2 linked regions of the Arabidopsis thaliana genome follow. The protein of the gene in region 1 purifies or fractionates together with the protein of each later gene. This does not show direct contact. Each region holds a gene or a part of one and is shown on either strand. Other genes may lie near its edges. The genes, in order: SNC1 and AT5G15400.

Region 1 (8,197 bases):
GGAAGCTCTGAAACAGAGTACAGCCAACAGTCTCGAGAAAAATGTGATGTTGTAGAGACTGCGAGAAGCAATAAGCGGATGCGGGTAAGCCTTTTGACATAATTAGAACTGAAAATTGCAAAGCTATCTCTTGATGTTTTATTATATTTTCCAGGATCAATACCTTAGTGACAGACTATTTAACAGAATCGATCCTTTGGTTTACGATGCAGATGACATCGGGAACATCTGAAGAATATATCAACTTACCCTGTGTCCAAATTGTAGCGGACACAAGCTTGACCGCTCTAAATATGGAGCTTTCGTTAGGGCAGGGAGAAGCATCATCAGTTTCTTCTTATCCATCTCTGGAGGGGGAATCTTTGTGTGTTGATTCCATGATAAGTGAACAACAAGATGAAGAAATTCCTATCTTGAATTCTGGTTCTGGTAACTGAAGCATCTTATTATTCGGTTTTCCTCTGTTTTAGGATAACTTGGGACCGAGCATGACTATAATGATAATGGCAAGACGATTTCATATGTTTTGACACAAGCCATTTTTCCTGCAGATATATCACTTCCCTTGATACTAGTTAAATCCATATGAAAATATCTTGTTCCCTGAGCTACTCATTAACACATCTAGGATGGGATGGAAAAGCTAATTCTCTAGGGCTGTTCTCGGCTGAATGGTCTTTGGACCAAGGACCTAAAAAAAGACGTGTGTTCTGCGGGAGTTACTTTGTTATACCTCATAATGGGAAGGAAAGCTCTCACTGGTGACCCTGAACAGTTAAGATCTGACTTGACTGAATACACCATCACTCGGTTCCACTTTTTTCTTCTTTCTTGCCGTCTTACAACGACCTTGTCATTCCCAGGAACATAAAGGACATTGCGCAACTACGAGGCAGTGAAGAATTATGGGAAGTAGCCAAGCTGCACAACCGTGAATCCTCTTTACATGAGGTAAAATCTCATCTTTCATCCCTTGTAAACTCTCCATTCATTTGATTACTGCATTGGTGTGAACATAACATACATGTTCTGTTCTTCTTTGCCGCCAGCATTTGGATTCAAATATCACAAAAGGGTTTTCATTGTTAGCATTTTGTGTTCCAAAACATTATATATCTTAAAAATGTAAATTACCGACAAAATTATTAGATAGATGATCGTGAGAGATGAGTTCAGGTTGATTTTTGTGTTGTTGTTTCAGGAATTGTACAAGTCAAGGTACTTGAAAGGGATGGAGTTGAGAAAATGGTACGAACTCAACCCAAAACGCATGGAGTTTCTAGATGCAATTCCATGGTCGCTCCTTGACCTCGTTGATAGATGTTTGACCGTTAACCCGAGACGGCGAATCAGTGCAGAGGATGCTCTCAAGCACGACTTCTTCCATCCAGTACATGAAACCTACCCTTAGAAACCAAATGCTCCTTAAACGGCAGCAAATGCAATCGCAGCCTACAGTGGTTGCTGACACAGTAAGCCAAAACTCTAAACTAATATTACAATTGTAAATGTAAACAAGAAAACTTTACATGAAAATATTCTCTCCACTGTCCACACCACACAGCTCTAGAAAACTAGATAGTTTGTTGTTAGTGTTTTCACTGTATTATTAGTTGAATTATAATCCTCATAATCGATATACTAATTATTCTCCTAATTTCCATGCATGTATGTACAGTATGAATAGGAAAACCAGACTTTTGATATTAGTGAACCTTAACATTGTTAAAATAAATTGAAATCTTGTTTCTGTCTTGAACCACTGACAGCCACAAAATTTTGGGTCTTCAAAAATATCTGTGGAGAGGAAAAGTAGCTCTCGAGGAAGTTTCTGTCTATTTTGCCTAGAAATTATCTTGAAATCTTGTAGAATGGCTACGTCTCATCATCATAGATAAATTCAGTGACGACTGATAGCCACAAAATTGACTTATCGTTATAGAGTAGAAGCTTTCCAAGGAAAGGAAGGGGAAGTTTCTGTATCACATAATTATGGCCTTATCTTGTTAGGGATTTGATTTTTCAACCACTAAAAAAATATCTTGTACAGTAAGTCTTCTATGCAAGTCTTCTAAGAAAGGAAGACCAAGTTTACGTATTATTTGTCCCAATTGTCTTGTAATGGGATTTGATTTTAACCACTAAAACAATATCTTGTATAGTAAGTCTTCTATACAAGTCTTCGAGGAAAGGAAGACCAAGTTTCTCCTCTCTGTTACTGTGTTGTATTATTGATATACTTCAAAGAGTTTTCCTTTGAGAAATTTCGTCTCTTCTCTCTCATCCTCTGCCATGGCGTCTTCTTGCTTCAGATAGATATACAATGTTCTCAGATGGATATACAATGTTTTCGCGAGCTTCAGTGGAGAAAATTTCGGCAAATTGTTTCGTGGCCATCTTGTCAAGGAGCTCGAGCTCGACCGTGAAATGATGGATACATCCAAAGATGATGATATGGAGATAGCTTCTTCTTCTGGCAGCCGGAGATACGACGTTTTCCCAAGCTTTCGTGGAGAAGATGTCCGTGACTCATTCCTCAGCCATCTTCTCAAGGAGCTCAGGGGCAAAGCAATCACATTCATAGATGATGAGATCGAGAGGAGCCGCTCAATCGGCCCGGAGCTTTTATCGGCAATAAAAGAATCGAGAATAGCAATCGTTATCTTCTCTAAGAACTATGCTTCATCCACCTGGTGCCTGAATGAATTGGTGGAGATTCACAAGTGTTATACGAATTTGAATCAAATGGTGATTCCGATTTTCTTCCACGTTGATGCTTCGGAAGTTAAAAAACAGACCGGCGAATTTGGAAAGGTCTTTGAAGAGACATGCAAGGCTAAATCAGAGGATGAGAAACAAAGTTGGAAGCAAGCTCTAGCAGCTGTTGCAGTTATGGCCGGATATGATCTTCGGAAATGGTATTTCAATGAATAGACTTCGTGATTTTTTTGTTTTGCGTTGCTTCTTTAATGAAACAGTTGACTATTGTTATTAGGCCTAGTGAAGCAGCCATGATTGAAGAGCTTGCCGAGGATGTTTTGAGAAAAACTATGACACCATCGGATGATTTTGGCGACTTAGTCGGAATTGAAAATCATATAGAGGCAATAAAATCAGTATTGTGCTTGGAATCCAAGGAAGCTAGAATAATGGTCGGGATTTGGGGACAATCAGGGATTGGTAAGAGTACCATAGGAAGAGCTCTTTACAGTAAACTCTCTATCCAGTTCCACCATCGCGCTTTCATAACATATAAAAGCACCAGCGGTAGTGACGTCTCTGGCATGAAGTTGAGGTGGGAAAAAGAACTTCTCTCGGAAATCTTAGGTCAAAAGGACATAAAGATAGAGCATTTTGGTGTGGTGGAGCAAAGGTTAAAGCAACAGAAAGTTCTTATCCTTCTTGATGATGTGGATAGTCTAGAGTTTCTTAAGACCTTGGTGGGAAAAGCTGAATGGTTTGGATCTGGAAGCAGAATAATTGTGATCACTCAAGATAGGCAACTTCTCAAGGCTCATGAGATTGACCTTATATATGAGGTGGAGTTCCCATCTGAACATCTTGCTCTTACGATGTTATGCCGATCTGCTTTTGGGAAAGACTCTCCACCTGATGATTTTAAGGAACTAGCATTTGAAGTTGCGAAGCTTGCCGGTAATCTTCCGTTGGGTCTTAGTGTCCTTGGTTCGTCTTTAAAGGGAAGGACCAAAGAATGGTGGATGGAGATGATGCCTAGGCTCCGAAATGGTTTGAACGGAGATATTATGAAAACATTAAGAGTCAGCTACGATAGATTACATCAAAAAGATCAAGATATGTTCCTTTACATCGCGTGTTTATTCAATGGTTTTGAAGTCAGTTACGTCAAAGATTTACTTAAAGATAATGTTGGGTTTACAATGTTGACTGAGAAGTCCCTCATACGTATTACACCGGATGGATATATAGAGATGCACAATTTGCTAGAGAAATTGGGTAGAGAAATTGATCGTGCAAAGTCCAAGGGTAATCCTGGAAAACGTCGATTTCTGACGAATTTTGAAGATATTCATGAAGTAGTGACCGAGAAAACTGTAAGTTTTTTTCGCAGCTCCGTTTGAATGCATGACTTTATATTAATATAATCGTAATTTGGGGATTGATAAACTTAAGCAATTGTTGCCTCATGCGTAATTAAAATGTAGCTTTGATGTGTCAGAAAATTAAAAAGGGTTGCGATTGTTAAGATTATATTAGTTTTCTTCGGATTTTTTTTCAGGGGACAGAAACTCTTCTTGGAATACGTTTGCCATTCGAGGAATATTTTTCGACAAGGCCGTTATTAATAGATAAAGAATCGTTCAAAGGCATGCGTAATCTGCAATATCTAGAAATTGGTTATTACGGGGATCTACCTCAGAGCCTCGTTTATTTGCCCCTTAAACTCAGATTGCTAGACTGGGATGATTGTCCATTGAAGTCTTTGCCATCTACTTTTAAGGCGGAATATCTAGTTAACCTCATAATGAAGTATAGTAAGCTTGAGAAACTGTGGGAAGGAACTCTGGTACGAATTCTAAATTTTATTAGTTGTCAGTTTTTAGAACAGAACTGTGGTATATTTGTGAACGTGTGTATTCTCTTTTTCCATATTTTGTTTTCAGCCCCTTGGAAGTCTCAAGGAGATGAATTTGAGGTATTCCAACAATTTGAAAGAAATTCCAGATCTTTCTTTAGCCATAAACCTCGAGGAATTAGATCTTGTTGGATGCAAATCTTTGGTGACACTTCCTTCCTCGATTCAGAATGCCACTAAACTGATCTATTTAGATATGAGTGATTGCAAAAAGCTAGAGAGTTTTCCAACCGATCTCAACTTGGAATCTCTCGAGTACCTCAATCTCACTGGATGCCCGAATTTGAGAAACTTTCCAGCAATCAAAATGGGATGTTCAGACGTTGACTTTCCGGAAGGGAGAAATGAGATCGTGGTAGAAGATTGTTTCTGGAACAAGAATCTCCCTGCTGGACTAGATTATCTCGACTGCCTTACGAGATGTATGCCTTGTGAATTTCGCCCAGAACAACTCGCTTTTCTCAATGTGAGGGGCTACAAGCATGAGAAGCTATGGGAAGGCATCCAGGTACATTGTTAATGCTATGCTGATTTTTGTTTACCTTCTGTTATATAACTAATTAACTATACCCAAATTTGTTATTATGGCTTGTGATCCACGGTTATGTCTTACCACGGTTATGTCTTATAATAATGTTTAATTATAATTTTAAACATATACAGTATAAAATTAAAATGATTATCATCGATAATGATTGAAGCATACCAATGTTTTTTTCAGTCGCTTGGAAGTCTCGAAGGGATGGATCTGTCAGAATCTGAAAACCTGACAGAAATTCCAGATCTTTCAAAGGCCACCAAGCTCGAGTCTTTGATACTCAACAACTGCAAAAGTTTGGTGACACTTCCTTCTACAATTGGGAATCTTCATAGATTGGTGAGGTTGGAAATGAAAGAATGCACAGGGCTGGAGGTTCTTCCGACCGATGTCAACTTGTCATCTCTCGAAACCCTCGATCTCAGTGGTTGCTCAAGTTTGAGAAGTTTTCCTCTGATTTCAACTAATATTGTATGGCTCTATCTGGAAAACACCGCCATTGAAGAAATTCCTTCTACAATTGGGAATCTTCATAGATTGGTGAGGTTAGAAATGAAAAAATGCACAGGGCTGGAGGTTCTTCCGACCGATGTCAACTTGTCATCTCTCGAAACCCTCGATCTCAGTGGTTGCTCAAGTTTGAGAAGTTTTCCTCTGATTTCAGAGAGTATCAAATGGCTCTATCTGGAAAACACCGCCATTGAAGAAATTCCAGATCTTTCAAAGGCCACTAATCTGAAGAATTTGAAACTCAACAATTGCAAAAGTTTGGTGACACTTCCTACTACTATAGGAAATCTCCAAAAATTGGTGAGCTTTGAAATGAAAGAATGCACAGGGCTGGAGGTTCTTCCGATCGATGTCAACTTGTCATCTCTTATGATCCTCGATCTCAGTGGTTGCTCAAGTCTGAGAACTTTTCCTCTGATTTCAACTAATATTGTATGGCTCTATCTGGAAAACACCGCCATTGAAGAAATCCCTTCTACAATTGGGAATCTTCATAGATTGGTGAAGTTAGAAATGAAAGAATGCACAGGGCTGGAGGTTCTTCCGACCGATGTCAACTTGTCATCTCTTATGATCCTCGATCTCAGTGGTTGCTCAAGTCTGAGAACTTTTCCTCTGATTTCAACTAGAATCGAATGTCTCTATCTGCAAAACACCGCCATTGAAGAAGTTCCCTGCTGCATTGAGGATTTCACGAGGCTCACTGTACTTATGATGTATTGTTGCCAGAGGTTGAAAACCATCTCCCCAAACATTTTCAGACTTACAAGACTTGAGCTCGCCGACTTTACAGACTGTAGAGGTGTCATCAAGGCGTTGAGTGATGCAACTGTGGTAGCGACAATGGAAGACCACGTTTCTTGTGTACCATTATCTGAAAACATTGAATATATCTGGGATAAGTTGTATCGTGTTGCATACCTCCAGGAACATTTTAGCTTCCGTAATTGCTTCAAATTGGATAGAGATGCGCGAGAGCTCATCCTACGATCATGCTTCAAGCCTGTGGCCTTACCAGGTGAAGAAATCCCTAAGTATTTCACGTATCGAGCTTATGGAGATTCCCTAACTGTCATTGTACCTCAGAGCTCTCTTTCTCAAAATTTCTTGCGATTTAAGGCTTGCGTCGTGGTTGAACCTCTCTCCAAGGGCAAGGGTTTTTATCCATTCTTGAAGGTAAACGTTGGCTTCAATGGCAAACAGTATCAGAAATCATTTTCTAAAGATGCAGAACTGGAGCTTTGTAAGACGGATCATCTGTTTTTCTGTTCCTTCAAGTTCCGGTCTGAAGATCTTCCATCTAAATTGAATTTCAACGATGTGGAGTTTAAGTTTTGTTGCTCCAATAGGATCAAAGAATGCGGTGTACGACTCATGTATGTCTCTCAAGAAGAGAACAACCAACAGACTACGAGAAGCGAGAAGCGGATGCGGGTATCTTTTGACTTTTGATTTGATTTTCCAGGATCGAAATACCATAGGGACAGACTATTTAATAGAATCTATCGTTTGATTTATAATGCAGATGACATCGGGGACATCTGAAGAAGATATCAACTTACCCTATGGCCTAATTGTAGCGGACACAGGATTGGCCGCTCTAAATATGGAGCTTTCGTTAGGGCAGGGAGAACCATCATCATCAACATCTCTAGAGGGGGAAGCTTTGTGTGTTGATTACATGATAACTGAAGAACAAGATAAAGGAATTCCTATCTTGTTTCCTGTTTCTGGTAACTGAAACATCTTATCATTCTGTTTTGCTCTGTTTTAGGATAACTTGGGATCGACTATGACTATAATGATAATGATAATGATAATTAATTACATTATCCAACTCTGCGTTTGTTTTGAACATTTCGCTTTTCCTGAAAGAATAAATGTTTCAGAAAGCCACACTTTAGCATATTCTGGAAAAACATCTTTCGCATGGTTTTGTATTGTACCATACATCTATCTATTTCCACATTGAATTTGGGAGCGTACCTACTTGAACTCAGGTACTACCCAAAATAGTCTTGCCTTTTTTAAAACATAGATGTCAAGGTTTATGTTAGTAAAGGTTGTTTTTCTCTTTATTAGCAATGAATAAATCAGACTTTGGGTACAGAAAACAACAAGAATCAGCAACATTTGCATATCCGCTGATTCAATAGCCAAAAGGCAGAAGCGTTTTTGGCCTAACTTCGGCCAAAGATGTAACCAGCATAAGGAACAATCCTTCGGGTGAAGGAAAGAGCTTTTAAACTTTCTACAGGAGACATTGTCTGGTCCACTTCCAAACCATGAAGTATCATCCAGCTATCCTACGTCGATGAGAATACATGTCGCTGCTGTTCCCCCATGCCGCTGCACTCTTTAATTGTATCGTAAAGAGTTAAAGTTGTAGGCCTGAACTACTCACTAGAACATCTAGGATGGAAAGCTAATTCTCTGGGGCTGTTCTTGACTGAATTGATTTGCTTCAGATCTTTGCATCAAGGGCCTAACATAGACGTGTGGTCTGATGGGGACGACACCTTTCACTGCTGACC
Region 2 (7,995 bases), on another chromosome or scaffold:
GGGTTTGAAACAGGGAAGCCATGGAGATCTGTCGGAAGCAGAGAAAGAGATATTGATGGCTGAGTTCTCACTTCGTCACAGTAGAAGCTCAATTTGCATTGCTTACGAGTTCGCTAAACGTAAACAACAACACTCTACCTCCTCCTAATTTTGAAACCGTTGTCTTATTCTCTCGCTGTTTTGCGTGTTATAGGCTTCGAATGACGCCTATAAAAACTCTTTCGAACTCTTTTTTTGGTACGACGCTTGCTTCATGTACAACTCTTAAATTCTATAAAAGACATCCTTCTGTCGAACGTATTGCCTTTTCAATCGAGTGAGTGGTGTTGATTTCACCATTCTTCTGCATCGACCTCACGCCATCAAAGATTAAGTTAGAAATTTCGCCTTTCAAGAATTGGTCACTCATAACTCTTATGCCAACTAGTAATCCATGAACAAACGTCGAAATGCATAGAAACTCGTGAACACATCGAACTTATGATAGAAACAGTTCTAGACATGATATTTATAAGTTTTTTTCCCGTGGCATCAAATAAGTGGAAAGCAAGCCCTAAAATAGATAGATAAATCCTAATAGAAAAGAAAGCCTAGCAAAAGTAAAAAAAAAAAGTCCTGAATAATTGTTATTATTTTGTTACTTTTGGAACACATAATTAATCAATTAACATATCACTGTTTGTAGTCTGTATCCTTTCCTTGTTGCTGCTATCTTCTCCACTTGTCCGTTTCTTAGACTGATGCGACTTCACAAACTCATCGATTTTCGCCTTCAACTCGATGTCCGGTATCAACATATCCGATGTCAAATGTGCTCGGTTAAATGGATCATGCTGCAGCAAAAGTAAGAGGATCATATACAAAGCCAAAATCTTCAGAGAAAGAGAGATGTGACTGATCAGTGATCATCATTGTGTTAGATAAGCTTACATTGTCGCTGAGAAGATGACGTTGAATGATGGGACGATCAACTGTGATTCTTGAGCTTGGAAGTATTACTGGATCTCTCATTAGCGTGTACTGCCAAAAAAGAAAAGGAAAAGAAAAAAACAAGAACAGACATTAGTGCATGGTAATAAGACAAGATTTAGGTTTAAATTAGTGTTTCTTTCAACAGATAAAGACCTGAATTGGGTCAAGGAACTCGTCTGGTATTTCCCCAAGTGCAGCTTCAGCATCCAGAGCTTCAGAAGCAGCAGCTTTGGCTTTTGTGCCTAACTCCATAAACTCTTGAATGATTCTTCCCTCTTCACCTATTCTCCTAAGCACATCTGCTCCTGCATTGAATAGCTGCAAAAACGGGCACTTGTTTAGTTCAGTAGAGACGCATCTATTATTATGAAAGAGGATTTGGTTTAGAAAGAAGGATCTGACCTGTTCATTATATGATCGGCCATCACTGGAGATGGCACCAGGGAATATGTTTACTGTGTCTCCTCTTGCGAGATTAACATATATGCGAACGATCTTCAAAGTTCACAATCATATCAGTCAGTTTTTTCTCACATACTTTGATCAGGAGAATTGAGTAATTGTAATCACTACTAACCTGTTTAAGTAACTGTTTTGGACGGAATTCATATTTCTCAGGATCTTTCAGGCTTAAAGATTTACGCTGTGGACCCACGAGTTGTAGCAAGAAGTAGTTAAGCATGTTGGCAACCCTCTCAACCTAAATAAGTGCAAACAAACAAAGAAACTCATCAGTTGGGTAATCATAGGGCAGGTTATCATTTCAGGAATATGGTCAGGTACCATCTCAGGGAGTAGGAAAGGGGCAGTGATCTCCTCGGATGTAAATGCAAGCATAGTCACATCTTCATTTGCCAGCTTCATGTCGATTCTAACAATCTGCAAAGAAAATCAAAGTTCTTTATGGGATCGGGATTCGAGTACGAAACAAGATATAAGAAGTGATAATCCAACTAACATTCTCCTGCGAATGGAAGAGTCTTGTTCTCTCCTGTCTCTCTTGAGTTGGTCTCTGCTCCCACTCTGCAGTATTTGACATGTCTGCCTCGATTTGTTTAATCTCGAGAATTTTGTTTAGACTTTCATCCAGAAGATAGATGCTATCATTGACTAAGAAGTTTAAGAAGTTCAAGTACACGCCCTTCTCTTCGTCTTTTGCAATCTGTAACACATCAAATTTGGAAAAACATTGGAACATGATAGTTGAAGTTCAAAGTCATGGCAAGCTCACTAAGAATTTACCCGTCTCCATGCATTTCGGTGACTAGGCACCTGCCAGAGATACTCTAAAAGCTCGGCAATGTTGTGGCGAATATTGAACTTGTCATAGAACTGCATTTGGATAACTAGATTTCAGTTCCAATAAAAGCAAGAACAAATGGCTATTCTGGCTTCCAGAGCTAACATATTCTCAAGTACAATGCAATAGAGAGAAGTTCATTACTCCAGGAATATTATAGCCACTAAACAAAATCTCTTGCAATCACCTGAGTGTGTGAACCCGTGAACTCAATGTCAACATATAGTTTCAGTAAATTCCTGACAAGATACTCGAGCGATAACTGATGTCCCTCAAAGAGAGTAGATGTAGCAGAAGAAGAACTACTGCAGGAAAAAAAAAAAATTAGAATGGTGGACCACGTTACTGCAGAACTTGTTGCATTAGCAACACAAATTGACAAATGTACAGCTTTCTTTCATGGGAAGAAAAACACCTTGAACGAGGCATCCAGCAGTTCAGAACTTCAACCATCTTTGCTCTGAGATACGGGTTTCTAACATATTCAGGACTTGCCATGAACATAATTATGAAGTTCATAAAGTCGTCCTTAAGAAAAGAGAACAACCATCATCAGTGCAAATACAAAAAGAGAATTTCTACAGACTGATGAGAGCAAACTAAGCATACCAGCGGCACCCCGTCCAAAGCTTTGGGAATTCTTGAAGCGAATATCAGCAACTCCATTGCATCTTCAACAAAATGCTCAGGCATACAGGAGAATTCCATAGGGCAAGTTGACGGTAGAGGCATCTTAAAGCCACCGACTAGTCCAACTAACCAAACAACCATTAGGCGATAGAAAGACAGAGCTCGCTGAATAAAATCTCCATCCTTCAATACAGTATAGAGATAAGGCAGCTATTACTATCATGTTACCGGTCCAGAGGAAAAGCCGAAGATGTTATCAGAGCAGAGAATATGATTACAAACCCTCAATATTTGGGCCTCATGGCAAAGCTTTTCCTGCGAAGACAGCTCTAGTTCTTTTTCCATTCGGGATATATCAAGTTCCAACTGTGGAGAAGGTGCTTGATCTCTCATGGCTTTTAGCGTTGCAAGATTATCTTCACCTCTCGAGATGTCCTACGTCATGCGGAAAAGAAAAAGTGAAGAACCATACAATAACAATCTTCTGCAAATTCAGGAATCAATGACACTTTCACAATGTAAACATGTGACTAAGTTCAAGTTTTTGCTATAGTCCCTTCTCGTTTTAACTAACAAACGCCTTAATAAGACAATATGTAAGGAACCAAATCAAATAAGAGCTTTCTGCAAGATAATTTATCACAAGTCGTTTTTTTTTCCAAAAAATCTTCAATATTTCCAGGACGGGAAAACTGTGATGATGATTACCTGAGCAAGATGTTTAAAGTCAGAGAGTGCTTTTAGGAGACCCAAATTGAGGACCCTAGCAGTCATAAAGAAGCATTCACAAATGAAAGTGTATTTAGTTGCTGACTTTGCATTTTGCCCAGAAGCATTACTACTAGAACTTGTGGCTTCTTTGGATTGTAACAAGCGACTTTCGTTCCCATTTTCTCGCCCAGCATCATTTGCGTTTGCCATAGCATCTTTGCCAATCCACTCAGTAACTTCTTCGGATGATGCATGGAGAGCGGTCAAGTCGCTGGTGTGGATCATAAATAATATTGCTCATCATGAAACTATTAAAATCAGTGAGGAAATACAAGTAGAATCATCTTGAGGACCATACCTTAATTTTAAGCGATGGCCACAGAATGCGTATTTTGGATCAATCTTATCCCTTTTCGTTAAATGTGGGTCTAAAAATGGTTCACAGAGCCGGAGCATTACTGCACTAAGGTTAACAAACATGCCTGAGCTAGCACAAGAGACTGGATCAACCTGTCATACAAGATAAACATATTACAGAATGCTGATTTGAGCAAAAAAGACAAATACCAACTTGATAAAACCGAGAGGAGACAATAGCAATTCATGAATAAAGATCCGAAGTATATATGCATCTTATAAACGGATGATTACCTGTATATGGGCTCTAGACGCATTTGCATTGATCACCTCTGCAAGAAACTGTAGAACACGCTCACGGGTATCAGTACTTTTAAGTAAAATCATCAATACATCATGCAGCCCGCTGTACAAAATGTTCATGAAATTTTTAATCGTGGAGAAGGATGATAATAAATCTGCGGGACGACGTTCCGATGCTTCAGAGAAACACTGCTGCCTGATATTCACAAAAACAATAGACATATATCAGCATTTTCATAACAGGTAAAGTATATCCTCTGAGGTGGATCAGGAAAACTCTTATGTTCGCACAATTAAGCCTTGTCAAATACTAAATGGACAATCAAGATTCTTCAGTACAGACCAGAAAAAATGCTCAAAATAATGGATTTCATCCACAATATTCTAACTTAACATAGTGCTTACTAATATTTCTGTTGGTTTCGCCTCTACTGATCATCTAACTATGCTAAATTTATATAATCATGCTTAAAATATGTATACAACCTAACAGTGGCATCATATATAAGCCAAATATATCTGCTTTTTTCCTTTTTTGATCAAGTCTCTCTACTATGAGTAAAAGCTAATCAATAATTCTTACTATCCAAACTTTCTCAATAAGAAAAGAGCCCCAAAGACTACATGATTCTCAGTAATAGAAACCCATAAATAAGTTGGAACTCACCCAACATCAGGTTGACTCTTGAATAGTGTATTATCTGGCAGCGCACTAATATGGAAGAAAGGCCCAAGAATGCTAGTCAACTCCATTGCTCGGCCGTTCATATAGGCACCCCGTGGAACCCACCACTCATGACTAACCAGAGATTTAGCTCCTACTGGTAAGCTAACAAGATACTTGAGTGCCCTCAGTGGTGGCTGGAAATCTCCAAGCACTGATACATTTATAACCGTAGACCTCAAATCCTCATACAGCTCCTTTAGAATCGAGTCCAAGCTATCAAAATCCGAGTCTTTGAAAAACTCATCCAAAAACCCAGGAGGAGCTTGAACCCCACTGCTACTAGCTCCAAACATATCCAACGAACCAGAACCAACCTCAGCAAAGATCAACGGAAGAACCGGAGAGACATTCCTCTTCTTCAACCTATTATCCAATCCACCACTAGGTTTATCCGAGTTCCCAAACATGTCAGGATTCCCCAAGTGAATCCTACAGTAAGAAACAGCAAGCTTCTTCGCTTGTTTAGTGACAATCTCCATCTCCGATCTCAGATTCTTATCCTTCATCGACTGGATTTTCTTCGATTCGTCGTAAGCACGACGGTGGCAACCGATTAAATACGGGAAAGGCGGTTCGGCGTCGGAAAAGTCGCCGGAGAGACGATCTATGAGAACTCTCTCCATCAAATCACGAGAAAGCAAAAGCTCTTTACCTTCGCTGAGAATCTCAGCGGCCGTCATCTCCAAGTAAACAATACGAGGATCGGAATCAGTTGATTCCGTTAGGGTTACATAAAATATCTTCCGGAGGATTATATCCTCAATTTCAGCCGGCGATCTTTGAGGTTTGCTCGTCGCCATTGATTTTACGAATCAAATCAAACACTCGAAACTCGATTTGAGAGATAAATATAAGAATTTTTTTTCTTAAACTTGTATTACCGATGAATCAAAAGCGAAAGAGTTTGGACTTAGCAATTTAAAGTATAATTAAATTTAGAAAAACTAAAATTCACGAAAGAAGAGAGAAACCATGGCGAGAGATTTGGAAGAACTTTCTGGGAGTAGGTTTTTGTTTATGAACTCTTTTGGAGTCTCTGAACGAGCTTTAGCAAGTCCTGAGCTTGGACAAAAAGTCTATATAGGATATATGCAAACGTCGTACTTACTAACGACGTCGTTTATACTTATTAAGACAATTACTTTTACTGCTAATAAAAAATAAAAAATAAAAAATTACCAAGATAAACTCCTCCAAGATTTTGTTGCTCAAAAAATCTACTTTGAACTTAACCGTAAGAGGTTGAAGTATCATTCCAAGAAAGATTTTTTAAAGAAGTAAAGGTAAACAATTGAGGAGGAACAATGAACACACAATTATTTGGACCGATATAAAATTGGAACTTTTTATTATTATTCGAGATGATCATGCGGTCGAATGGACATGAACATAGCTGCATACTGAAGTAACCGGCGTTCACTGTTACCTTCAATGCTATTCTCCGACACAGGACTCATCGAACCGCCGATGTTTTCACCACGGGTTCTTTTCCTACGCCGGCGCCACGCCATCTGAATATTTACCGCTGCCCACGTCCTCCAGTTTGAGGAATAGTATCTTGCGGTCCGCTTAAGCCGCTCGTTCGCGAATTTATAACGGAAATGATCGGTAATGTACCTAAGATCTTCGGATCCGAGGGAGAATGCCTCGATGTTTTCTAGGCAGACAAATGTTGCTGAGGAAGGGGGAAGACGGTCCAGAAACGGGCGACGTAGGCACCATGAGAGTAGCTCGTCGCCCAAGTAACCGCCTGGTTCTAGTGTACTAGTGGCTAGGACGCCTTTGCTTAGGCTCTGTATACGTTTGACTCGTCCACGCATGATGAATATCATTCTCTGTACAGGATCTCCTTCACGGATGATCTGTGACAATCAACAAAATCGAAGAACCTCAGATTTTACTCTTCAAGTAAACTCTTAAACCGAAACCGAAGCAAAATATTGGAAATATAAATTTTTAGAAATGATGGGATGAGTACCTTTTCGTCTTTAGAGAAGACTCGAGGCTTAGCCCGATCGCAAATGTTGTCGAGGATCAAGTCGTCCATGCCCCTGAACAATGGCACCTGAGAAAGATCAAACATGTCAGAGACTTAACACTTACTGCTTTCACAAGTCTTAACAAGATTGTATAAAGTCTGCTTCCTAGTACCTTGTTAATGAGATCAAAGCAAAGATATCGTTTGATATCTCTTCGAAGACCCGGAGGCAAATCATGTATAAGTTCTAGCTCGTCTTCACCACCCAAGGCATTCCATCTCTGCCGCTCAAATCGCCTAACCCTCTGTCTTAACCGGGAAGGTAACTGCCTACGTTTCATCCACCATTCCATATCCCTACACCGTATCTGCATTTTCCTTTTTTTCGCCATTACCGCATGCAAAAACACCTTCAAAATATTGTAAAGTAAAAAGCTTTTTAAAATCTTACATTCCATGAAAACACAATATCATAGAAAAGACATATTCTTGCATAGTTTACCTGAATGTTTCCTATCAACAGCGTGAAAAGTAACAAGCCACTTAGAACCATAACTATACTGAAAATAACCTCGAGCCAGTTGCTTGTGGGCTCAAGATCATTCGCAAATGTGCTGTAAAACGCGACCCCCAAAACAGATTCAGTATGTCAATCAGAGAATTTTTTTATATCCAAGATGTAAACCTTAAGCTCAGAAACAAAGCAATTACCTGAGAGTCATTAGGCCCCAGAAGATGGGGTAAAGGATCTTAACCGCAAGAGAGTTGCTGGAGATGACTGGAAGTGCCCAACGGTAGATACCATATCGGAATGGTCCGTTAGAGTCTAAGCACATAGGCTTATTGACCACACTGGTAAGGTTTCCAGATAAGCATGGATATCCAACTGTGCTTGTCGGTGACACAAATTGGTAACAGACCTCTTCTTTGCAAGCCAGACTCAGATTGCAGTTCCCGGTTCTCATACATTGTTGTCTTATGCAAGAAGCAACACGCTGTATTGCGAGAACATACCAA

The links.
Region 2: the proteins of SNC1 (region 1) and AT5G15400 purify together in Arabidopsis thaliana (affinity purification with western blotting, with the first as the bait; one study listed by BioGRID). This does not show direct contact.

The regions. Positions count from the first base shown.
Region 1 is NC_003075.7:9,499,713-9,507,909, reverse strand, and holds SNC1 (TIR-NBS-LRR class disease resistance protein), read left to right. Parts: upstream 1-2,079; 5' UTR 2,080-2,427; coding exon 2,428-2,918; exon of another isoform or gene 2,919-2,969; coding exon of another isoform or gene 2,970-2,995; coding exon 2,996-4,073; intron 4,074-4,258; coding exon 4,259-4,546; intron 4,547-4,643; coding exon 4,644-5,123; intron 5,124-5,336; coding exon 5,337-7,097; intron 7,098-7,188; coding exon 7,189-7,404; 3' UTR 7,405-7,639; downstream 7,640-8,197. UniProt on the Arabidopsis thaliana protein: Disease resistance protein of the TIR-NB-LRR-type. Part of the RPP5 locus that contains a cluster of several paralogous disease resistance (R) genes.
Region 2 is NC_003076.8:4,997,108-5,005,102, forward strand, and holds AT5G15400 (U-box domain-containing protein), read right to left. Parts: upstream 6,147-7,995; 5' UTR 5,801-6,146; coding exon 4,941-5,800; intron 4,470-4,940; coding exon 4,265-4,469; intron 4,124-4,264; coding exon 3,972-4,123; intron 3,885-3,971; coding exon 3,611-3,884; intron 3,338-3,610; coding exon 3,185-3,337; intron 3,086-3,184; coding exon 2,882-3,085; intron 2,801-2,881; coding exon 2,688-2,800; intron 2,578-2,687; coding exon 2,460-2,577; intron 2,305-2,459; coding exon 2,215-2,304; intron 2,135-2,214; coding exon 1,931-2,134; intron 1,852-1,930; coding exon 1,756-1,851; intron 1,673-1,755; coding exon 1,550-1,672; intron 1,468-1,549; coding exon 1,375-1,467; intron 1,291-1,374; coding exon 1,126-1,290; intron 1,021-1,125; coding exon 931-1,020; intron 834-930; coding exon 657-833; 3' UTR 382-656; downstream 1-381. Other genes in the region: AT5G15390 (tRNA/rRNA methyltransferase (SpoU) family protein), read left to right, coding at 14-148; DND1 (Cyclic nucleotide-regulated ion channel family protein), read right to left, coding at 6,353-6,862, 6,979-7,065, 7,152-7,388, 7,481-7,592, 7,690-7,995. UniProt on the Arabidopsis thaliana protein: Ubiquitin-protein ligase that may function as an E3 ligase in conjunction with specific E1 and E2 ligases. May also function as an E4 ligase mediating the assembly of polyubiquitin chain assembly on substrates monoubiquitinated by another E3 ubiquitin ligase.